Regions from separate parts of the Mus musculus genome. Here region 2 is reported to be linked to region 1. Evidence: microRNA targets listed by miRTarBase, many of them from high-throughput screens and not tested one by one. Region 1 holds a microRNA gene; the other region holds the end of a gene's coding sequence.
The links. Region 1 holds the annotated microRNA mmu-miR-3964 (AUAAGGUAGAAAGCACUAAA, at 6,833-6,852, opposite strand). A microRNA usually pairs through its seed, bases 2 to 8, with sites in the 3' UTR of a target mRNA and lowers its output. Matches are read on the target gene's strand: a 7mer-m8 pairs with bases 2 to 8, a 7mer-A1 pairs with bases 2 to 7 and ends in A, and an 8mer does both.

Region 1 (12,860 bases):
TGTGCAACTGAGCAGCCCTCTGAATGCATTGCTCTCCAAGGGCTTTAAATAAAAGCCCTTTGTTTGTCTGTTACACAGAGGAAAGCCTGGGTACTTGCTCTTTGTTAGAAACCATCATAAGAACTGTCCCTGGAGTATTCTTCCATGAGGCTCACAGTGTCCTATGACATCATCTTCTCCATGACCTCACACCCTTCAGCATTCAGCAGAAATGTGACCACTTCGGATGCCTTCCTTCAACCTGGGCTGTGTTTGTGGCTTGTAATTTCATATAAACTTGTTGTACAATATTTGATTACACTGTGAACCCTGAGATTATATTATTTCCTGGAAAAACCTGCTTCTAGTTGTGCTGTGGCTCAGCCCTAGCCCATGCCTTCAATCTAAGAGCTTTCTGGTTTTTGGAAACAGGGTTAAATAAAGTCAACCATAGGTCAAGAGGCAGAACAAGAAACCAGTTGACAAGGAATGAACATAGGAAAAAAAACAGAAAGAGGGGGTCAGGAAGATGGATAGAGAGACACAAAGGAAGTAGAAGTAAGGGACACTTAGTTTGAAAAGATTTTGAGATTGCTGAAGAAGTGCTTCCCTTTCCCTTTGGGAGACTGGTTGAGAAAGGTCAGCTGGATGCTTTCCCTGCCTCACTAAGCTAGCAGGCTTTCACCCCAGCCTCTGGTTCACAAGACTATTGGTAAAACTGAGCATTTGAGATTGTCTTAAAAGCAACAGACATTAGGGTCATGTGGCCTTATTTGTTTATTCTGTATAACCAGAGGAGCTATTGTAAGATCTTTAAACTTCAGGTCATTTAATTCTGTCATCATTTCTTTCCATTTTGGGGGAATTGTGTGTGATACATAATTGTCCTTATTTTTTTTTTCACTTGCTTCCTATTGGATGCAAGTTGCTGCTAGACGTTTTTAGTTATAAACTCCATTTACTGTTTAACTATTTTCTTGTTTATTAAGGATTTATTTTTACTTTGCATGTATGAGTGTTTGCCTGGAGGTATGTATAACATTGATACGCAATGCCAGCAGATGCCAAAGGAAGAAGATGGGCCACTGAAACTCGAGTTACAGGCAGTTGTGAGGCACTGTGTGGGTTCTGGGAACAGAACCTAGGCCTTTGGCTAAAGCAGAAAATATTCTTAACTGTTGACCCATCTCTCTAGCTACCTCTACTCTACTTTCCTTTCTTGCTTTGGACAAGATTTATTTATTTTCATCTTACATTTAAAGCCCTCTGCATAATAAAATCTAAGAAAAAGCAGAATCTGTATCATAAGTAAAGAAAGAAACTCAGAAAATCTCAATTTTCCTTTATTTTTGTCTTATATTTATTCATTTTATGGTGTTAATAAGTTAATAATAACTATATAGTTAGAATTATGTACTTATTGCAACTTTTCATTCTTAGAGAATTCTGTGCCATATATTTGCATCTTATTTTTAGACAGAATAATCTCTTATAACTATAATTTACAACATGCAGTTGCAAACTAAAGCCTCAGTGTATTTAATAACTTGCTTAGCTGCCCCACATTTGAACGATCTACGGAATGTCCCACTGGCTCCACCCTCTTTTCTTATACTGACTCCACCCGCTTCTCTTACCTAGGATCCTGAATCTCACAGCTCTCATCTGTCTTTACCTGATGTTTCCATTCTCAGTTTATTGTCAGCCATGTTTCAAGTTTCAACATGTTTATTTGTTTTTGTTTTAAAGTACTGTTCTTTTTGTAAACGAAACCATTTCTGTTGTTTCTTAAAACATTCATTTTAATTCTCTAAAATCGATCCTATACAGTCACTTATCAGTTAATTACCATGTTGGTTGCAGTTAATGCCTCTTCAGATAATAAGTAAGGCTCTATTCTTTTGCTTTTATTTTATTCCTCTATTCATTGCCAGTGGGCACACATGTGGCTGAGTGTAGCTATGTCTTATTAGCGTTTTGAACTGTATTCTTTCTTTAGACTTCCATTTATTGGAAGGTATTTTTGTCTTTTTGATCCACAACTTGGAGCTTCATTATACTTCCTATACATCTCAGCTTCTTCTGCAAGTGGTAGAGTAAGTGCAAGATTACACCACCCTGGCCCCTACAAGTTTTCTCTCCACACAGTGAAGCCTTGTACCCTCTTCTTGGTTTACAAATTACATCATTATAAATCAGGTCCCTTTGCTGTAGTGTTACATGGCAGCAAACTCAAGGAGTCTCTCTAAGATGGCGCGTGTGTGCATATGAGAGAGAGAGAGAGAGAGAGAGAGAGAGAGAGAGAGAGAGAGAGAGAGAGAGAGATTTACTAGAGATTTTCTAAGGATTTAACTCACCCTACTTTAGCTGAGCTATATCTCCAGCCAACGGGGGCCTTCCTTAAATCATTAGTCCATTCACAATGGTTTTGTCAACAGCTTAAAAGCCGTCTAATGCTCTGAATGCTCATACTGTCATCTTTAGAATCAATACTCCAATATGTTATTGTCAGAAATCATAGATCTTCAGATCATCTGGATGCAAGCACAACATTCATGTCCACAACTCCCTTTGGTGTGCTTTGTATGTGATGGGCTTTGAATGAAGAATCAGAATAACTATGTATACAAGAAAACCAGTCATACATAGTGTGTAAAAATATTTCACCAAGAAATCTCTAGAAAACCTCTAGTTGTGGTGGGTATTGTTTTGTTTTGTTTTCCTTTTTATTTTTTCTAATCATTCCAAGATTTTAGTGTTTGAGAATTTTACACTTATATAGTGAATTTTGATTAAATCCACCCCCAACCCGGTTCTCTACTTTCCATTTCCCACTCCTATACACCCACCAACACTTTCCTCTCATTTTTTCATATTCCCTTAGGGTATGGGGATGTTTTGTTTTGTTTTTCGAATTGAATCCATTAAACACTGCCTGAATTTGCATAGATGTGGAACAACTTCTGAGATGTAGGTACACATGGTACACATACATGAAAAAAGAATTGAGTCTTCCCACATGATAGCCACCATTTACCAATAGCTGCTTAGAGATGGGTGGGCCTGTTTTCATAGAAACTATGGGTTCAGGTTTGTAATGACCCTTTTATGTTCAACAAATTTTGTATTGCCATAAATTTGAACAACTTCTGGCTATTAAATTTTCTTTCCCCCATTCATCTGACACTGAGGGTAAGGGCTGAAATATAGCTTTTCTATTTGTAGCTTAGCACTCCAGTCTTGGGTTTTGCATGTTAACTTGTTATGGGTCTCATTAATTGTCATCTATAGAATAAAAAACATTCTATAATGAATGATTAGATATTGATTAATCTGTGAATACAAAGATAAGATGTCAAGGGACAATTAAATACTAATCAAATTATTGGGATAATCATACTAGGTTCTCCTCTGAAGCCAAAAACCTATGTAACTATTGGATTTTGGCTTAGTAACAGTACCAATCATTAATTCATTCTCATAGAGTGAATTTAAACTCAATCAAAAAGTGTTTGGTTGAATCTACAACATTAGTACCACTATAGCACTAATGTGCACATCTTTTAAAAAGTTATTTTAGCTAGAATAGTTGGCACCAGAGTAAAATTGTTTTGTGGTCTTTTTCCCCAAGTATCACGCATAGTATTCTCCAGTAACATGCAAGCAGGGTCTTTGCTCTTGGTTTCCCTCCAGAACTTAATGATAAGACTTTTTGTTATTTGTTAGCTCACTGCAAACTTGAGTAATATAGGAAAATCAAGTCTGTATTAACACTTTTAAATAGAATTAATCAATTCCACAGTTGTTTTACTAGTACTTATTTTTATCTCTTGGCCATTTTTAAATAGCATATTACTAAGGTTTGAATGTGCTGTGGCCAAAGGATATGTTAAGTGCTGATACCCAGATTCCTTGACGTTTTCTTAGTGGGAAATAAAATTTCCAAAAGTAATAAACTTAAGGCAGGATCGTGGATAACAGTGATGAATCAATCAGAAAAGCACTTGAGGCACAAAGATGAAGATCCAAGTTCCACCTCAAAATTCATGTAAAATAGCCAGGCAGCACAGATTTCCAATTCAAGGCCAGGAAGATGTAGGCAGAAGGATTTATGTGATGTGTTCACCATGTAGAATCATCAAATCAGTTATTCCTAAGCCCACTAGAGTTTACTCAAAAGTAAACTGGATGATATCCTTGAAGGAGACATCTGAGGTTGTTCTCTGGATCCCACATTTATGTGTACAAACCCACATTGCCCTAGATACACATGGAAAAATAAATAAAAATAAATAAACAAATAAAAGGAATGTGAGATCATCAAAGGGATTCTGATATAACTGATGTCTTTTAAAATCAGAAAATTTGATCAAAAGGAGACAAGCACAGTTAGATTAATGTGAAGATATGAAAGGAGAAATGGAGATAATTGGAATGTTACATGGTGTGCATACTTATACATAACTGATAATAAATCTTATGAATGCACAAATACTTTATAAAATATATCTTTTGTGTGTTAATCATGGAGTCATGAACAACAAGATAGCTGCTGTGACATGGGAACTTAATGCAAGCCCACTCCAGCCCTTTTGTAGTTAGTTCCACAAAATGACAAAGTTAAAAATATTCCCATAAACATTTAAGTGCCTGCACAATAAAGTGATCTGTCATGAATATTCATAAAAAATGAAAAAATTAAACACCATTTTGTGTATTTATTGATACATGTTAAGTTTAAGAATATTTTATGGGCACTTATACTCATTTTATGTGATAATGATAAATGTTAATTTTAAAGTAAATAACTATTTATATACTGTGTAGGATCATGTGGCAACACTATTCCACAAAAGTATTTTTCACAGATTTGTACAGCTGTGTACTCAGTATTATTTTATTTACTGAAAATTAAAAGGTAGTATATATGCTTTTCAAATTTCAAAACACCACAAAATCGTGTGGTTCCACTTCCAAGAATTTTTTTATATTTAATTTTTTGATACTCAAGTGATACTTCACATTCTAAATGTACTCTGAAGATGTGAAAAGAAATCAGAATGATCTGCTTTATAGAAGGGTGTTTTTTTTATTCTTCACATTTTCTGTGATGTATTGACAGTATAAATTTAGCACCTGTATTCACCAGTCTCTGTGGGTAGCTAGGAACATCAGGGAAAGACAAACAGAGCATACAAGGATCAGGACCAAAATAGTTAGAGAAAGTTTCTCTTAAAGCAATTCTGTTTGTGGCCAAAATGGCACTTGCACTATAATGCTTATTACAAAAATATTAAAGATAACCAAAATGTGACCTCAATCAAGATGTCTTTATCAAATGAATTATTGAGAAAGCTGCATGTTAACATGATAGACTATGACTCAGTCAGAGCATGATTAAAACTGTCATTTTCAACAATATTAATGGCTGGGAAGAACTGTGTTAATAGAAACAGGCCAAACACAGAAAGACATGTACCATGTGTTCTATCTCATTTATGGAAGGCAATGAATTAACTTACTGCAAGTATGGAGTGGATACAGGTGACTAGATTTGGAGAAGGGTTGCAGAAGTTGCAGGAAGAAGGGACAAGGGACCTTTAAGGGATGAAAAAGGAGCTGATAAGTGGGTGTGCTAAAGACAGAAGAAGAGAGGCAGCATGAGTAAATAATGTGTGCATGGATTAAAAACTAGAATGTATCCCATTGGTTTACACAATAAACGTGTTACCAATTAGGATAATTTTAAAGAGTATGTCATGAAGTCACTGAACAGTAGAGTGAGCCGCACAGGAATTTTACCATTAATAATTCACTTCATAAGATTTCTTACTACTAGCAAACATACATACTCATGCACACACATTGAGAAATCCATCATTTATAAAAATAATAACTCAAGAGCCTCTGTCCATTGTATAATTCCATCTTTTAAAACAGTGTTCCAGTCATTGTTCTAGCTCTACAATTCCAGTTAAGAAATAGTATTTACTTACTTTGTAGTCATCTAGTTGGGTTTCATACACATATAACATTACATATATATGTATAAATATATATGTTCATATATACACATAAATGTATATATTACTTGTATATAATAAATTAGTATACATGGATATATGCACTTAAAATATATGATATATAATCTAGCTCACAGTTTAAAGGCTTTTTTATTTATTCTCCAAAATAGTGATTCTGTATAGATCAAAACATTAAATTTCTAAATAAATTTCCCAGTAATACCATTGATTAATATCAATATAAGAATTTCATGCTTTCCATGTTCCCTTCTTTGACTTAAATTTAAAATTAATTATATAGATTAAAAATGATTTCATCATACTTTCTTTGTGATAAAGTTTTGATTATTATCCATATGATGTGTGCAATGGGTTATCTTTATGTAATAACAGTCATATCACGGGTGTTCCTCAGAAGTAGTGAACTGGCTAGCATTTTTAGACACTATGTGATCTCTCATATGACTACACTCAATTTAAAATAAAATGAAATGTGTTGTGTGTGTCTAAAATCTATAAAGGGAAAAGTATCTTAAGTATTTTTTAGATGTTAAAGTAGATGTGTATCCTAAAATATGCATTGTTCACAGATGTTAAAATTACAACTACAATCTGTGAAACACAGATCTTAGGACAGCAATGTTTCACAAGAAAAAAAATGATGCAGCCTTCTTTAGTATTTATAGTCATTTGAACAATTATGGCAACCATAAGTTCATATATAACATCCCCATTTGGTGAAACTAGTTGGGAAAGATTAGAAGGTATGACCTTGTTGGAGGAACTATACCATTGGGGTGGCTTTGAGACTTCAGAAGTTTCAAGGCCCATTTAGTGCTTTCTACCTTATGAAGCTGTGAGTTCTCCTTGCTAGCTACATAACTTGGAAAGCAGGCCCTGCACTTCACCCAAGGAGCACATTAGAGCTGGCCCTTTTGGAAGGCAATTGCGTAAGCCACACCAGGGCACCAGAGATCTGGCACTGCCATGCTCCTGCTTGCAAGTAGTGGTGTGGGTGTTGGGTGATGCCCTCCAGTCCCACCTTTTGCCACCTGTAGTAGTCAGGGGAGTTGGCCTAAGGGCATGAGAGCCTAAGACTTCACCCTAATCCCTCACCAACTGTAGCATGTGGAAGAGCAGGCTCTGTACCTTCCCTGGGCAACACATTGGAGCTGGCCCCTCACAGGCTGCAGGACTTGGGAGAGTGAGTGCTGCACCTTGACTGTGAAGGTGGTTTTGGAGGTGTGGGTGTGAGACCATGAGACCAAGAGAGGAATGGAATATTACTCACTTATTAAAAACAATGACTTCATGAAATTTGCAGGCAAATGGATGGAACTTGAAAATATCCTGAGTGAGGTAAAAAATAACACACATTGTGTGTACTCACTGATAAGTGGACATTAACCCAAAAACTCAGAATATCCAAGATACAATTCACAGACCATATAAAGCTCAAGAAGAAGGAAGGCCAAATTGTGGATGCTTTGGTCCTTCTTAGAAGGGGGAACAAAATACTCACAGGGGGAAATATGTAGACAAAGTGTGGAGCAGAGACTGAAGGAAAGGCCATCCAGAGACTGTCTCACCTGGGGGATCCATCCCAAATACAGTCACCAAACTTGGATGCTATTTCAGATGCCAGGAAGTGTTTGCTGACTGAAGCCTGATATGGCTGTCTCCTGAAAGGCTCTGCCAAGAACCAGACAAATACAGAGGCGTATGTTTGCAGCCAACCATTGGACTGAGTGCAGGGCCCATGATGGAGGAGTTGGAGAAGGGATTGAAGGAGCTGAGGGGGTTTGCAGCTCCATGGGAGGAACAGTAGTGTCAACCAGCCAGACCCCGGGAGCTCCCACGGATTGGACCACCAAACAGTACACATGGTGGGACCCATGGCTCCAGCTGCATATGTTTCAGCGGATGGCCTTGTTGAACATCAGTGGGAGGAACGGCCCTTGGCCTAAGGGGGTTCAATGCTCCAGTGTAGGGGAATGCCAGGGCTGGAAGGCAGGAGTGGCTGGATGGGTGGAGGAGCACCCTCACAGAGGCAGGGGGAGATGGGAGGGGATTCTGGAGGGGAGACCTGGAAAGGGGATAACATTTGAAATGTAAATAAAGAAAATATTCAATAAAAGGAAAAAATGGGAGGAAATTCTGATGCTGCAGATGTAGACATTGGAAAGCCAGATGAGAGCAGTGCTGACGAGCTTGCCCTGGTAATGTGTAGTTAAGGGAGAGCCTGTGCACTGACCAACTCAGCAAACATCCAGACCTGGATCCAGGGCTCTCAGTTAGCACACCCCCAAAACTATGTCATTTGAGAATTGTTGGAAGACATGAAAGGACAAATCCTGCTGATCCAAAGCTGTATGATCTCTGTGACACAAGACAACTACAGAATAACTGCGAGTAGTCCTGAGGTAGATCCAATGTTGATGATGTCAGAGAAGCCAGAGAACCCATACCAAACCAATGACTCATTGCAATGAACATTTGCAAGTGCAGATGTGTGGACAGAGGGATATACTGTGGAACACACTGTGGTCTATTACAGCTTCCATGATGGGATATTTTCTATGCAGTTTTGTTGTTGTTGCTTGTGTGTGCATGTGTGTGTGTGTGTGTGTGTGTGTGTGTGTGTGTGTGTGTGTGTGTGTTTGTGTGTATGTGCATGTGCGTGTGCGTGTGCGTGTGCGTGTGTGTGTGTGTGTGTGTGTGTGTGTGTGTGTGTGTGTATTTATGTGTGTGTTCAGGAGGGAAGTTTGTAAGGCCAAAAGGCAAATATTAGAAGATGGGTGATGAGTAGGACTGGGATGCATAATGCGAAACTCACAAAGAATCAATAAATAGCTCTCTGTTATTGGCCCAATGCCAAGCCTGCTTGCCTGCTCCCATGCTCCTTGCCATGATGGTCATAAACTTTGAAACGTGAATCCTCAAATAACTTCTTTCTTCTGTAAGTTGCCTTGGCCATAGTGTCTTGCCACAGGGACAGAAGGTGATGAAACCAGTATGGTTGCTCATGACCCTGATGCTGAAGCAATGTTGATGATAACAATAATGAAGCTTTGAAAATTTTGTAGTTTTCCATTACAAAACTGTCTTATTGGGACAAAAGAACAAAACATACACAGGGCACAGATACACAGGGATTTTTGCTTCAGCACAAACTCTGGTCAAACCTGGTTATTATATAAATCAGAGTATGACCACATCATAGGTGGCATACATACTGAAATAGATAGTTAACATTACATGATTTCTGAATTTCAATTACAGGCATTTTCCCAGAGGAGTCAAAGTGTTTCTATCTCTGCACACAGTAAGAACTGTGAGCTCAGGCTGATGCAGAGTCCAGAGCATGTCAACCATGACACTGTTTACTTGTTCTGTCTTCTCTATCACTAGTGAAAATGAGGTAAGATTATACCACATCATTAATTAGTAGCTACTTGGTTGTGATAAAATGTAGTGTTGATTAGTGGAGGAATTGTTTTAAAGCTGTGAGAATATTTAAAATAAAATAGATCTTTGCTGGTGGGGTTGCAAACGTGTCCAACCACTGTAGAAATCAGTCTGGCAGTTTCTTAGAAAATTGGACATAGCTCTACCAGAAGACCTAGCATACTGCTCCTGGGCATATATCCAAAAGCTCTTCTACCATACTAAAAGGGCACATGCTCCACTATGTTCATAGCAACTTTATTTGTAATAACTATAACCTGGATACAACCTAGATGTCCCTCAAACATCAAATAAAGAAATCAATAGAGAAAATGAGGTTAGGATCAGGTGTGGGGAGAGACAGAAGAGAGAGTCAGAAGGACAGGAGAATGAAGGAAGTGAAGAGGTGGAGGAAATCTCTAGGAAGTACCAGAGATCTGGGATGAGGAAGGCTCCCAGGAGTCAATTTGGGTGGCCTTAGCCGAGATGCCTAACAGTGGGGACATGAAAATAGAAGAGGCCACCTCCTGTAGCTAGGCAGGACCCTAGTGGGACACCAATCCACCCACAAAACTTTAGATCCAAAATTTGTCCTGTCTAAAAGAAATCCAGGGACAAAGCTGGAGCAGAGACTGAAGAAATAGCCAGCCAATAACCAGCCCAACTTGAGACCCTTCCCATGGACAAGCAACAATCCCTGACACTCCTAATGATGCTAATGTGACTGTCTTTTATGCTCACATGGCAGTAGCCTAACATAAAAATCCTCTGGGAAACTCTACCCAGGAGCTTGCTGAAACAAATGCAGATACCCACAGCCAAACATTGGACAGAGGTCAAGGACTGTTATGGAAGAGTTTGGAAAAGAATTGAAGGTACCGAAAGGCATAGGAACTCCACAGGAAGACTGACAGAATCAACTAATCTGGACTCTTGGCAGGTCTCAGAGACTAACCCACCAAACAAAGAACACACAGGGCTAGACTGAGGCCCTGGCACATAGGGCTACCTTGTCTTGCCCCTGTGGGAGAGGATGCACCTAGCCCAGCAGAGACTTGATGCACTGTGGTAAGGGTATACACAGAATTTAGAATGGAAATAAATTAATTAATTTAAAAAACAGATATTTAAATTTCAGTACTGTTTAGTGAAGAGCTCCCTGAATAAAAATGTATATATATATTTGCATTCATAAATCATTTACTCTTTCCTTAGGTCAAAATTATTACTTTAGCCAAAAACTGTGGACATGCCCCATGGTCCTATCTACTTGGGAGACTTGGGTAGTACAATTATTTGAGGAGGGGGATTGTAAAGTACCTTGGAAAACATAACACAATCATGACATACATGAAAAAATAGGGGTTGTGTTTGTATGTCAGTGGCAAGGTGCTTTGAGGGTAAATTTGAGTCTCTTTGTTTAATCCAGTCAAGAAAAAAAAAACATAAAACAAAAAGTAGCATTTTCATGTTTAATAATTCTCATAATTTATGTATACATATAATTAGCTCCCTTTAGTTCTCTATAAGAAAGTGTGTGACATTTTTAATTAGTCATGAAATTGTATTTCCACATTAGTCATTCACTGTCAAATATGCTTTTCAATTTGAAAAACATGATACAAGGGACCCGATCATCATTTATACTTGAAGGCTAATGGTGTAAACAACAACTATAATTAAGAGTCTTTAGCAACTTTTAGACATGTTCCTTCTTTTTTAATTGGAAAAACTATCTTGGAGAAATCTAATGTCAGTATTAATACCTGTCTGAGTTATCAAATTCCTTATAAACCAATCACCTTGGTGATAGGTCTGCCTACATACTACCCACTACCCACAAATTCTATCGCTGTGTGTGTGTGTGTGTGTGTGTGTGTGTTTGTGTGTGTCTCTCTCTCTCTCTGTGTGTGTGTGTGTGTGTGTGTTTGTGTGTGTTTGTGTGTGTGTGTGTGTGTGTGTGTGTGTGTGTGTGTGTGTGTGTGAAGGACAGGGGCAGAGTCAGAGAGACAGAGGGAGTCTTTAGGCTGCTCATCCTGCTCTTAAATTTTTGGATTTAGAAATTGTTCATTCCGGGCCTCCTAACTCTTTGGAGCTATAGATGCATGTCATCATGGCTGATTAGACATACATTATTTAAGATTAATGGTATCTCACTTCATCCTGAAAGTACCTAGAATAAGAATAGAAATACATCATATGTTCCTCATCAGAAAATATTAAGCCAAACAGAATATTAAATATTATCTTTAAAATGCTTGGGAATATTTTTACCAAGTATTATAAATGCAAAGAACTCCTTCAAGAATCAGGCAAATTAGATACATCCCTAAATAAACAATTCAGAGAATTCATTTCCTGAGATAGACTTTGTAAGCAATGTCAAAGGAAACTTTTCAAGCAGAAGGAAAATGATTCCAGACAGAGATTTGCATCAACACAGAAGATAAACAGTTCCAGTATTAAGTATGTTAAATAATACAAATACCACTTTCTAAGTGTATAGTTTTCTAAGGAAGAAAAAACCCTTTGCCTAAAACAAAAGTCTTTCACTATGATCTCATTGTACCCTTGCCTTGTAGTAATAGTCACAGCCCTTAGCTGTGGCATCTGGCTTATGAATGGAGCAAACTTCCTCAATCTGTCCCCTTAGGGCATAGGACCTGGTGAAATCTGGGTAGAGGGATGAATATCTGTCACCTGCTAGACCAGTCTGCAATGAAGGTGACCTCTGACTTAATCAGCAAAGCTGCTCAACCTTCTTATAAGAGATGTGTTAAGAATATCTTTAGTAACCATCCACCTTATGACAACTCTGCTTCCAAGTATTGATAATGTTTCCAGCAGGTCACCAATATCTTGTAACTGAAGAAAAATGTCTTGGTTGAGGAGTACTATACTATAGATAAGAATGATGGGAGATTTTACGTGTGTGTGTGTGTGTGTGTGTGTGTGTGTGTGTGTGTGTGTGTGTGTCTGTGTGTGTGTTTAAATATCTACTGAGAAAATATAGCATTCTAGCTTTTGTAGAATGAACTACGAACTCTCTGCCTGTCCTGGGACATCAGGTGACCAAGCAGTCAGAACTTCCCATTATGAGCTGTCCTGTATTTAACTCACCAATACAGCAGCTTACATGGGCTTTTCATTATGACCCTGAATGTCCTACATATGATGAAAATCAAAGTACGAAAAATATCACCTAAAACAACTACTTGTTGTCTCTCCAAGAATTGGGATGTGTGTGTGTGGGGGGGGGGGATGTCTTTATGTCTTGTGAGCATGAAGCAAGAAAAGAAAACATTATTGTTGCCATAGCTGATTCTGACCATCTGGAGGACATATTGCCAGTATAATGCAATAGGGACAGAGAAGCATGGGTTTAATGAGAAATAGCCTCTTGGGCTTCTG
Region 2 (12,860 bases), not on the chromosome of region 1:
CTTAACAATAGTTTTCTTTTGAGTTCTGTGGATGCGAATCGCTGCCTTTACTAACTGAAACCGCATTTTTTAAAAGATGCGGTTTTGGCTCTGTGTGGTCGAAGCTGGGCTCAGGGATTTAAGCCAAACCTTGCTTGCGACTGAATCAGTCTAGAGATGCCAAGCAACAGGTGGCATGTCGTCCTGGTTTACACACTCCAGCCTTTCAAAGCGGCACCGTCATAGACTGTAACTCTAATTATAGTGCACTGTCCCATAGTCTCACTAGCCCTTGGAAACAACAACAGTTTCGTCCACAGACTGATCTTACGCCTAGGTAGCAGACACCTCACATTTATGGGTGATGTGCCTTGATTTCTTTATTATAGCTATTTTGTTCCTAAGTTGCCAATCATTGTTGAAGCATGTCTATACGGAAGGTTGGGGACATAGTTAAAAAACCTACAGCTATAACTCTGGGTTTTCAAATATTTATTTTATTTAAAAGTAATATACTATGTATATGAGTGGGGTTTTGTTGCAGTTGTTGGTTTTGGTTTTCTTTGCATGTATCTATGTACCATGTGTTGACTGGTGCCTGGGGAGACCAGAAGAGAACATTAGATTACCTGGTTACATATAGTTAGTAACCTACATAGGGCTGACGGAAACTGAACTCAGGGTATCTGATACTAGATGTGGTATAAGTAAAGGAAACTTCTTAGCAAACCATTTTGGAGACTCTAAATCCTTGTTTGAATGGCTCTATCTGTTCAATACTAAGAAAGTGGGTGCAAGAGAGATCTCCTGGAAGACAGGAAAAGAGATGTAGAGGCAAGGGACCTTTCCAACAGCTCATTGAATGAAATTAGGGTTCTCTCAGATATGCATGAAATCACTCAGGTGCATTCCCTGAAAAGCTAAAGACTTTCCACTGGATGTCTCCTCTTAAAGGGCCACCACCTCTCAATATTGCCACCATGGGACCTAAGCTCCGCTCAAACCATATCCAAGCTATGTCAGAGAGTCTTTGAAAAGAAGACGCTGAGCCTCTTGGAGGTGGAGTTACAGACAGTTGTGAGCTTATAATGGATACTGGGAATTGACCACCAGTGCTCTATAAGAGCAGCGAGTACTCCTAGTGCTGAGATAACTCTTTATCTTGTCCTTCTTACACATAAAAAATACTGAGGCCAGGCGGATGGTTCAGTACAGGAATTACTGGCAGTGAGCATAAGACTCCGAATTTGAATCCACAGAACCTATGTAAAGTTGGGTGGGATATTGCACACTTGTAATCCCACCTCTCTTATGACAGCGTGATGTGGAGACTGGGAATTTCTGGAGGTTGCAGGGTCTCTCTATGTAGCCCTAGATGGTATGAAACGCATCATGCTGTTCCAGCTGGCCTCGAACTCACAGAGACCTGACTGATTCAGGCTCCTGAGAGCAGGAGTTCTCCGTGCTTCTTTAAATGTTACTTTGTAGCAGTACATAGCCCCAGAAAGTGACCTTTGAAGGATGCTGGTGAATTGGGCAATGAGTGAGGCCCTTTGGTCTGTTTTACATCATGATGCACTTGCCTTGTGTAGCTAGGCATCTTTTCTCCAAGATAAATAAATAAATAAATAAATAAATCTCTTATATTTTTCTCTAATTGCCGATGCTATTTGAAATAGTACCAGTCAGCTGTGTTTAACATAGCAACCATGGTCATCAAAGATTTCCAATCTGAAGCATCTCCCAAATGAAGGTTTTCAGTAGAGAGTTCAAGGAAGGGAGACCTAATTGTGTCAGCATGAAACTGAAGGATAGATGAGGGGATGCTGGAAGTATTTTTAATCTTTTTGAGATGCTGATATGTACCCCGAGGAAAAGCAGTGTGCTCTATATAACTTAAGTATGCCGCGGCAGACTCACTGGGGGAACATAGATGAGATTTACAGTATTGTTTTCCAGGGAAATTGTATTCAGCATTCCGAAAAGCTAATTTACCAGCAAACGTTCTGAGCATAAATTTTAAGTTGGATGTCACTGGCACATAGTTTGACTTTGAAGCTCGGGGAATAGATTCAGTCAGCAGTCTATATTTGTCTCCATGTAAAACTTGCTTCTTGCAATAATCCCTTGGCTCCTCAAACTCCGGGAAGATGAGATAACGACAAGATGAAAGTTTTTATGACCATGTTACAGGCTCTTGTGGAGGAACACCACATGGGTCTCATCAAGAATTTCACTAGCTTACAGTGACAACCTTTACCCTTCCAAATCTTTCTCAGGATTGAGGAGATGGCTAGGTGTGTAAAATGGTCTCTGTCCCAGTGTAAGAACCAGAGTTAGGCTTTCTAGTACTCATGTGGCAAAAAAAAAGGTGGGCGCAGGGGTCTGTCTTAGTTGTTGTTCTATTGCCATGAAGAGACACCATGACCAAGACAACTCAGAAAAGGAAGCATTTAGTTGGGGCCTTGCTACAGATCCAGAGGCTTAACCCATCATCATTGTAGTGTGAAGCATGGTGGAAGGCAGGCAGCCACAGTGTTGGAGGAGTAGCTGAGAGCTCACGTCTGATTGGTAAATTGCAGGCAGAGTGAGAGGGAGACTGGGCCCTGCTGGGCTTTTGAAACCCCAATCCCACCACAGTGTCACACCTTCCCCATTAAAGCCACTCACTCATACTCTACCTAGAGCACACCTCCCAGTCCTTCCCAAACAGTTCCGATAACTGAGGACCAGACATTCACACATATGAGCCTGTGGGGGGCATCCTCATCCAAACTGTCACAGCCTGTGGGACACCAGCATTGGGAATGGAGACCAGAGGATTCCAGGGGCCCACTGGCCAGCTGCTGCAACTAAAATGAAGAGCTCCACATTTGTGAGTGTCTTAGGGTTTTACTGCTGTGAACAGACACCATGACCAAGACAACTCTTATAAAGACAATATTATTTGGGACTGGCTTACAGGGTCAGAGGTTCAGTCCATTGTCATCAAGACAGGAACATGGCAGCATCCAGGCAGGCATGGTGCAGGAAGAGCTGAGAGTTCTACATCTTCATCTGAAGGCTGCTAGCAGAATACTGGCTCCCAGGCAGCTAGGATGGGGGTCTTAAAGGCCACACCTACAAGGCTACACTACTCCAACAGGGCCACACCTCCCTACAGTGGCACTCCCTGGGCCAACCATATGCAAACCATCACAGTGAGAAATCCTGTCTTTAAAAAAAAAAAAAAAGTGGATTTAATAGAAGATATCCGCCATCAACTTCTGGCTTCCAAACTAGCATACATGAGTGAGTGTTCTCATAACACACATGTATACAACACACACACACACACACACACACACACACACACACACACACACACACACACACACACAACTCTGTCATAGAATAACCAAAGTTATTTTCAGTGAACGGGATTTAAGTAAAGTTATTATCTTAGCATAAAATATGGATACTTTCTTAAGATCAGAAAAAGCTGTAAACTGAAAATCTGGAGCCTTGGACTCTTTGTTTCAAGCAGACGTCAAGGAGTCTGTCTCATCCAGCTGGCCTCACAGCAAATGCCCAATCTAGAGCCCTCTCTGAGTAAGAGCTGCCACTGTGCCTCCCAGATCTGAGCACGGGAGGTGTGACGGTTAGTTTTAATTTTCAATTTGCTACAACCAGGAATCACCACCTGCTCACAGAATCTCAATGATGGCTTGGCTAGATCAAGTTGACCTGTGGGCACATATTCAGGGATTGTCTTGGTCTTCTTAATTGCTATGTGACGTCCTAGCTTCCCATATCATTTAAGGGCTGCACCATTCCCCTGGGTTGAGGCCCTGGATTTTATAAACAGGGTGAGATTAGCACCTTGAAGGTGTGAAGAGTGGGGAAAGGGTATCTCTTCCTTGCCCACACCATTGACAGATAAGAGACAGAACCAGCTCTTCCAGGATCATGTCTTTGGAGCTAACTCTCTCAAGATGCCCAGGCAATGGGGGGAGGGCCAGCTCTACGAGTGCTCAGACATCAATATGACCTCAGCCCAGACGAGGGGTATCCACATGACCTTTGCTGTAGGGACAAGGACCCAGACATAGCCCTTGGAGGCAGCACGGGCCAGGGCCTCACAATGAATGGCCTTGGGTTGGCACTGCCACCTACTCACATCAGGCCGTTCCAGCTACCCTGGAGTCTCCAGTCCCGCCTCTCTTCACTGTGCACACATCCTCTTGCATCTCTTCCCCGCCCCCCATCATTCTTCTCCTTACTCATCTTAGTGGGGCCCAGGGCCTTTGGGTGTCTGTGGTCCTCTTAAGCTTGGTTTGCCCCTGGAACCCAGGCAGTGATGAAAAAATACTGTACCTTGCATTCTAAGCCATTTTTCCTTCTAATAATTGAAGTAAAATGTCACTCCAATGTCCTCCGGTCGTGCAGAATAGGTGGCTGCTTCCCGGTCCCACCCTTGTTTCTCTGTAGGTAATGAGTATCTCGGCTCCCTCCGCATCTTTTACATTTTTTTCCTTATCACTGTCTTTCATCAACTTGATTTTAACGATTATGTTACTAGTATCTTCAAATATTTTATTGCTGGAGTTTTTTGAGTTTTTTAGATCTGAAAGTTTACAATTTGGATTTTCCTTTCAGTAATGATTTTCTCAATTATTACTGATTGATTTTGTTGTTGTTGTGTGATTTTGGGTTTTTTGTTTGTTTGTTTTTGAGAGAGGGTTTCTCTGTGTAGCCTTGGCTGTCCTGGAACTCACTCTGTAGACCAGGCTGGCTTCACACTTATATAGATCTACCTGCCTCTGCCTCCTGAGTGCTGGGATTAAAGGTGCAGGCCACCATTGCCTGGCTTAGTTAAATTGTTTTGTTGGTTACATGTATTTTATGCAGGCAGGGTGTTCTGCCTGCATTTATATCTGGGTACCACTGAGGATGTGGGATTCCATGCAACTAGTTATAGAGAGTTGTGAGATACCATGTGGTTGCTGGGAATCAATCCTGGGTCCTCTGGCAGAGCATCCAGTGCTCTTAACCATTGAGCCATCTCTCCAGCCTACTACTAGTCCTTGCCCCACCAATAGTAATCTCTGCTTCTGAGAGTTCAGTCGTATCACATGTTACTCTGCTAATAGAGTCTACGGTCACTTTCTTCCTCATTGTTTCATTTCCGTCATTCCAGTTGCTGTGCCATCTCTCTGATTAGGGTTTTCCAACACCCGATTTGATGATAATCAAGCTCAGTATGTTATCTTTTTCAGGAGAAACCACCTTCCACTCACACTGACTGTTTTTATCTGCTCCTGTGATGCTCAGACCTCTCCTTACCTTCCTACCTCCATGGAGCAAGTCTGTAAAGCTGTCCCAACTTCCTTGTTTGATAATGATAGCATCTCCCACTCTGTTTCTATTTGCCAGTCCTTAATCCTATTTCTTGTCTCTTTGCATACAGATTTTAGATCATCTATGAACCATCTTGGTTTCCAATCTTGTCAAATCTTGCTTGTATACTTTTGTAATAGGATGTTGGATATACTTTTCTAGAACAAAAACCAAGTTTCCTGGATTCAGTGTTCAACTTTTTAAGGTACTATTAGAGTGGCTATAAGTAATAATACGAATTTAGTCTCACACCTAAGGCAAAGTTCTCCTCCTTCCCTGGTTCCCCAAGCTCCCCTGTATCATTTGTACACTATGAAGATATTTCGTTGTGGCTGATGCGAACACAAACTGTCCTTAGTCCTGTATATGCTCCTCCCAATGTTCATGGATCTGTAACTCTTGTTCTGGGTAGTTTTCATCGTTGACTTGATTGTATTAGTCAGGCACGTCTTTGAGTGTGGCCTGGAGACCAATTCCAGAATCCCCAGAGATTAAGAAAGGCTTACTGGGGAAGACCCACTTTTTGAATGTAAGCAATGTCCTCCCATAAAGCTGAGATCCAGATGTGAACAAGGTCCGGTCCCATTCCTGCCATTATGACCTGAATTCTTCACACCATACGCCCTCCCTTGTGTTCCCTCTTCCCTTAAGTTGGTCCTGGTGTAGGAAAGTGACCAGTGAAGCCCTTCTCTGCCCCTGTTTCAGCCTGAACCATGCCTGTCACTGCTTAGCCACAGATTCTGATGAACTTGGCCTCCTCAAATTCTGATTTTTATCTCAATGAGCTCTCAGGATCTACTCTATCATTTGGAAGAAGTTATTTCTAGTACTGTGATACGTGAGAATAAACAGGGCTCTTGCCACTGCGTTGCGCCTACATGAACGGCATGCGTTTGATGTGGGAGAAAGGACCCCATCCTTAATTTATTAAATAAATATTGCATCGCTAGCATTCATCAAAATGAAGCGAGCCTGTCAAACAACTGATAGTATTAGTTTGTTTGCAATCTTTATTTGTGTAGAAGCTTGGGTTATGAGAGCGGTAACTGAGTTATAGCAGTATACTTGCATGTTCATTAATCAAAAGATGGGGTTTTTACTTTTGCATGGTCTAGCCTGGTTACTGTACTGGTTGCACATTTGACTTCCTTAGTTTAGTTTTGTTTATGTGTTGAGTGCTGGCCTGGGTGTATGCATGTGTACACATATGTGTAATGCCCTTGGAGGCCAGAAGAGGGAGCTGGGTCCATTGGAACTGGAATTGCGGGCACTTGGGAACCTTCACGAGGGTGCTGAGGAAACACCCAGAGCAGCAAGAGCAGCAAAGGCTCCTAACCGCTGGGTCATCTCTCAATGTTTATTCAAAAAGGACATTCGGGTTTTCACCACCTTAGGAATTTGTTTCTAGCAGGGACTGGCTGAGATACATTTCCTAGTAGAGATACTCAAGGACTGGCTCTAGAAGGCGACAGATTGCAAACAGCAGCGTCCCTTGTGTGTTCCCCTTCGATCGATCGACTGCCTAATGGACATCACCACTGCAGTGCCTCGCTTTCCTCCTTAGCAGACGTTCTTGCTGGAATAGGAGTTTGTGACTTTTGGCTTGCTTTCTGCCCCCTGTGCACCTTGAATTCTTTCCTTCAACTTCCCCACACCCTTCTTCCTCTAGAAATGATACACGTGGCCCTTGGATCTCCTCCAGGGTTCTGCATTCATCACCACCTTTCAGGTCTTCATATTTTCATTCCATGCTGTTTCTACAACTTAGAAGATTTCCACCCTCTCCTAGACTGTTCTAATGAATTTCTTAAATCGTCAAATGGGCTATATAAAATTGCATATTCAGCATATTTAGACATATTTACAGGGGATGAATTAACAAGGGAATAAAGAAGGCAAGTTTTTTCTTAACCACTTCATCTTGTATCTTCATCCCTGCAATCCAGGCTAAGAGCTGTCTGGCTCATCCTGTGACTTCACCCCTGCAATCCAAGCTAAGAGCTGTCTGGCTCATCCTCTGCCTTTACCCCTGAAATCCAGGCTAGAAGCTGTCTAGCAAGTTGGTCGTGTGGGCTGCAAAGTTCGACTCTGACTCTCAGTTAAAGTTCTGGCTCTACCCTCTAACCCACCATGTAGACTTGGTGACATCACTTCCTTTCCCACTTGGGTCAATTTTACTTCTACACAGTGATCTCAGCACTACTGTCTTAGAATAATTGTAACAATTAGTGGAGAAAAGGAATAAAGAGCCTGAGTATTCTAAAAGCGGCATCTACTATTATTAGCAGGAGCTATTTCTTTCCAAACCAAGCTCCTTGGCCTTCCTTTCTGCAATCCAATTGCTTCCCATGCCTCCCCGAAGCTCACAAACTATTCACAAAAGAATTCCAACAGAATTTGAAAATTATATTTTTTATTATAATCACATAAAACGAAGTCAGTTACACCAGATTGTTCAAATACATTGGTGAATTAAAATCTTCGCTGCTTACAAATTTTATACATACTTATATGTATACATATAAATACATCATAAAAGATATATATTTTATTCTAAAATAAAGTGGCCAAATCTCAGGATATGGGGCAGGAAATGAAGAGAAGGATCATAAACTCTTGGCAGTTACATAATCCTTTTGCCAGCCAAGCATCTACTTTGTGCACGCTCGTTCACGTAGAGTGAATTTTACTCACCCATTATTTTTCTGAATTCTCCCATGTGAATTAATCTTACCCAAAGGTTAGAAGGTTAACAAGGCATGTGGCCAACTTACTGAATCAGCGGCTGGCTCTTTCTGAATGCATAGGATTCTGCCTTTGCTTCCAAAGAGAAATAACTAAGCGCCATAATTTTCTCAAGAGGGTTAGCTTCCCACTACGGTGCTAATAGAGTAATATACAAACCAGGTGTCTCTAATTGCAATCCTCTACTAACATGCAGTGAGGTCAGGAGTGGGCACAAAGATTCCTAGTGGGTTTGTTTTTCTTATCACCAAGGCTTGGGGAAGCAAAGCCACAGCACGGTGTGAATTGCGGGTCTTGTTTCTTTTGTTATTAAGGAAATAATAGAATAGGGTATGTAAGGACCGCTGTAGATTATTGAGAGAATCAATTTTAATTGAAATGGGCAATTCCATCACAAAGTCAGTAATAACATTTCAATCTAAAAATAAAATAAAATGTTAAAGAAAAATGGCATAATTTAAGTAAGGTAATAATAATAACAATTAAAAAAATCCTCACTTCAAATGGGAACTAGAATTCTGTTCCCCGGCTCTAATCGCTCAGCTACCTTCCTCAAGTTCACACCAGACATCACAAAACCTTATGGTGACCTTTGTAGTCTTCCACAAGATTCAGAATCTTAAAATGCCTTTGAAAAGACTTCAACTTGTTAAATCAAGGCAGAGATGCCTACAATTAGCCTCCACGAACCCAGCCACTTCAGCATCTTTGGTGGTTGCATCTTCAAACTACATTTGCACGGATCCTACGGCAAGCAGGGAAGGGAGAGACTGTCACAGCATGGGGCTGCAGAAGATACTCAGAGAATTTCCCAGCATATAGTGGAGAGGGACCCACGAGAAACCCTGACATCCCCCAAACTCAGAATAAGGAGAAGGACATCTTGGCTGTGGCTAGAGGGGCAGCAGGAGAGCCAGGAAGGCCTTCCCACGTTCCAGCACATTTCGGCAAGACCTCTAACTACTGATTTTGGTGAGCATCTTGTTAATCGCTTGCTTGACGTGTGTGGTGGAGCTGCGGCGCCTTGTCTTGCCCTGCACCATCCTTCTGCGACGCACCTCTCGACAGAGCTCATAGAACACCTCCGTGATGTTCCCTTCTCCCGTGCAGGCGGAACATTCGTAAAACGCACACGCCAGTTCCGTCGCCAGCTTCTCCCCTTCTTCTGTGCTCACTTGTCTGGAGTGGTCCAAGTCGGCTTTGTTTCCGACCAAGATGAGAGTCACGTTTTTGGGTTTTTTGACTTCATCTAAGATGTTCTTCAGCGGCAGCACTTCTTCGAAGCTCCCTCGATCGGTGATGTCGTAAACCAACACGAAGCCTTCTCCCCAGCGCATGTGCCCTTCCCTCTGGATGGTGTCTTCCTGTGGGCAAAGAAAAGAGCTGCAATCAGGAGACCTGGGCCTCATCCCAAAGTGCACAATGTTATTGCCTACTAATCCCTTAATTGCATCGCTTCATATCCGTTTGTTATTAAACATCTTGGCTGTCTTCCTGGATGAACGTATTTCCTTCATTAGTTTAGAAGGTAAGTACAGCTCACCCCCATTTGTCTTAATAACCTTCTTGTTCAGTTTATAGACCATTGATAACCCTAGGAACAGAAAAAGAAGTAATAAGCTATATAGAATCTACTGTTTAAGCTTGAGGACTAGGACCCCGCACCCACCCATCCACCCCCCATTCCAATATTCTAATCTGTGTTATAGATCAGTAGTGATAAGGAAAGTTCTCCTGCGGTGACTGTCAGAGCAGTGGCTTCTCCTCCACGAGAGAAGAACACACAGTCTGAAGGTGTCTCTGGCTGGGTCTGGATGCACCTGAGTTCCCTGTACTTAGAAGGCAGAGGTAAGAAGAGGTCATGTTCAAGGCTAGCCTGGGCTACTAGTAGTGAGATGAAGAGACACTGTGTGTGAGAAGAGAGACAGGAAGTGTGAGGGGTAGAGGGGAAGAAGAAAGAGAAAAAGAAGAAGAAGAAGAAAAGAAAGAGGAGGAGGAGGAAAAGAAGAAAGAAGAGGAGGAGGAAGAGGAGGAAGAAGAAGAGGAGAGGAGAGGAGAGGAGAGGAGAGGAGAGGAGAGGAGAGGAGAGGAGAGGAGAGGACAGAGAATAAAGTATTGTTTCCTTAGGTTCAATTGTCTTCCAGAGGCTTCTGCCTCTCTTGGCGTGCTCAGTACTGTGTGAAGGCCATGCAGAAGGAGGGAGAGATGAGTTATAATTAATTTCAGGAGCAGTTCTTTGATGAAACACTTTAACTCAAGTCTCCCTTTGAAGGCCACCAGTCATTGTTATAGCACCATGGAAATGCCTGGCCCATATAACCATCACTCCCCTGGTCATCTCTACTGTTTTTATAAGACATGATCTGACTAATGTCAAAGGAAATTTGCAGGCAAGTATTGTAGGGACCGTCTCCACATAATGTGACATGCAACACACACACACACACACACACACACACACACACACACACATGCCTGTAAGTGGTGGTCAAAGAGAACTGGAACACAGGCCAAGGCTGTCTCAGAGATTCGACTTGCACATGAGGACATTAGTGGTTCCTTTCAATAGCGGTGTTTGTTTTACTTATCTCTTTTTCTATTGGATGCAGTAAACACTTGGCTGAATTCCTACTCACCTGGCCAGCGGTGTCCAGGATCTCCATAGAAACAACTTCATCGTCTATGGTTGCCTGGTGTCGGTAGGTTGATTCTAAAAGAATGAGAAAGGGACATGAGAGATTGAATTTGATCCTTGAAGTGAGATATTAGGCACAGGATTCCTGCCTTTGTAGCAATGCGGGGAGGAGTGGGGCCGGGCGGGGCAGGGAGCTGTCCAGGGAAGAGAGGATGGAAGGATAGATGGACAAAGGAACAGCATCTCATTCTACAGAGCTTTCTGAGAGCCCGACCTCCAGCAGGCTGCCTGCTTGCTCCTCTATCCTTTCCTCGGGCTGTATCTTGTTCTGTGAGGCCAGACCCCTAGTGCTCTTTTCCATTTAAATTAGATGAGGCTTTTGCATTATAAGACGAAAGAGGCATTTTCCATGCAAAATATATTTCTACCTAGATATTCCAATAAGTAATTTTTTTGACATAATAGTCTTTTGTGTCTCTTCCTAACTTTAACAGTGTAAAGATCCTTAGCACCAGAGGGGCATGGTCAGGGTGGAGAGGCTGGGACTTAGACAGATGGATAAAGCTGGTAAACTTCCAAGATGGCTGGCTTCTTCCTCTCCAAGATGGCTGGCTTCTTCATCTCCCTCCTGACCTGAGGCAGAAGCCTAGGGCACTGCAGTCGGCTGATGGGTCTGATGGGTCTGACGGGACAGGTTGGATCAGGACATGCTCACATAAGAGCTGTGGGGCAATTGGCATCCTATCCTTGTTTAAACTAACCAACCCTAAATGATGGGAGGAAACCCCACCTCTGCTTTGTAGGCAATCATTCTCTACTCCTGCTGTATTTCCTATGTTTCATCACCTCTAATAATGGCCATTCTTCCCTGGCTGATTTCCCACTGCTACCTGCTACACTCAAGCTTTTCCTGACTTTTATTTCCTCAAACTTACAAAACAACAACTACAACAACAAATCCCAAACTTGACCAAGACCCCGAGACTATAACAGGCTGAGCACAGGATATGAAACTACTTGAGGTGGTAAGAGGCAGGCGGCTGAGCTTGCATTTGGCAGATGGTGAAGAATGGTAGCCCAAAATATAAAGGGTCTGAGCAGATGTGTGGGATGGGATAATAAGATCCCTCCATCATGATGTCTGGTCAAAGTAGACAATAGCAGTTGCCCTGTTGCAGCTGCCATTGCTGGGTCCACAGTGGAGAGGTCCCCAAACCCTGAAGGGATAAGAAGATGGCAGGTATAAGATGCCTGGGAAGTCATGAATATGACTCTCACCATATAAGTGGAACAGGAAATCAAAGCGGAGTCAGCTGGTGGGGCCGTATATGAAAGTTTAAACACAGACAAAGGAGCCAAGAGAGACAGACTGAGCTGGTGACAGGCACCAGCTTATGAGCTACTGACATGTTCTGAGGGATTTCCTCAGAACATGTCAGTAGCTCATAAGAAGGAAAGTATGGTTTGAAACTTTCATAAGAAATATAGATAACAGATCTATGAATCTTATTCTTTATGAAATGAGCCTCAGGAGAGAAAATAAAATCTATAGGGCTATGGAGACAGCTGAGGTTGTGATATCTAAGAATTTCTGGGGACAAGAGTCTTAAGAGAAAAATGATCAAGAGGAATGTACTCATTACAGTGAATTTTAGAGATATTGATGACCAAAAAAAGAGGGTAATTAAGAGAAAAACAAAGTACACTCCCATGAAAGAACATGGCTCAGTTAATGGTGGGCTTCTTTATTAGAGATATAGGAGTCAGGATGTTGGTGGCACAAACATATCAGTGGGCCTGTATTAGAAGCAATCCAACAATGCAATTCTAGATGATTCTCTTGTGTCCCTTCAGGGTGAAGTGGAGACAAACACCAAAGGTGAGATGAACTAACAAACATTTCCGTAACAAAAGGGTGGGGACTAGAAACAGTGAGCAAAGCACTCAATTCTAAGAGAGGGAAACCAGAACAAACAAGAAATGATTCAAGGAGGGCACTCGCAGATGAGGCATCAAGAAGCAGGTCACGTGCCAACCCTGCTAGCAGGTGGCACAAAAGCAACAAGGAGAAAACAGAAGATGAAGAAAACTATAGGCTTGTGCGATATTTGAGGAGGCTGGA

Region 2: miRTarBase lists Rerg as a target of mmu-miR-3964. Seed matches in the 3' UTR shown: 7mer-m8 at 8,566-8,572.

Annotation. Positions count from the first base shown.
Region 1 is chr15:29,706,505-29,719,364 of GRCm38, forward strand. Mir3964 (microRNA 3964) reads right to left here and starts at 6,900; the gene lies at 6,827-6,900.
Region 2 is chr6:137,047,074-137,059,933 of GRCm38, forward strand. Rerg (RAS-like, estrogen-regulated, growth-inhibitor) reads right to left here. Exons shown (of 5, transcript NM_001164212.1): 4 at 10,740-10,813; 5 at 7,752-9,467. The coding sequence ends at 9,060. Among named protein-coding and RNA genes, the nearest start is that of Gm52923, 59 kb to the right of the region's middle.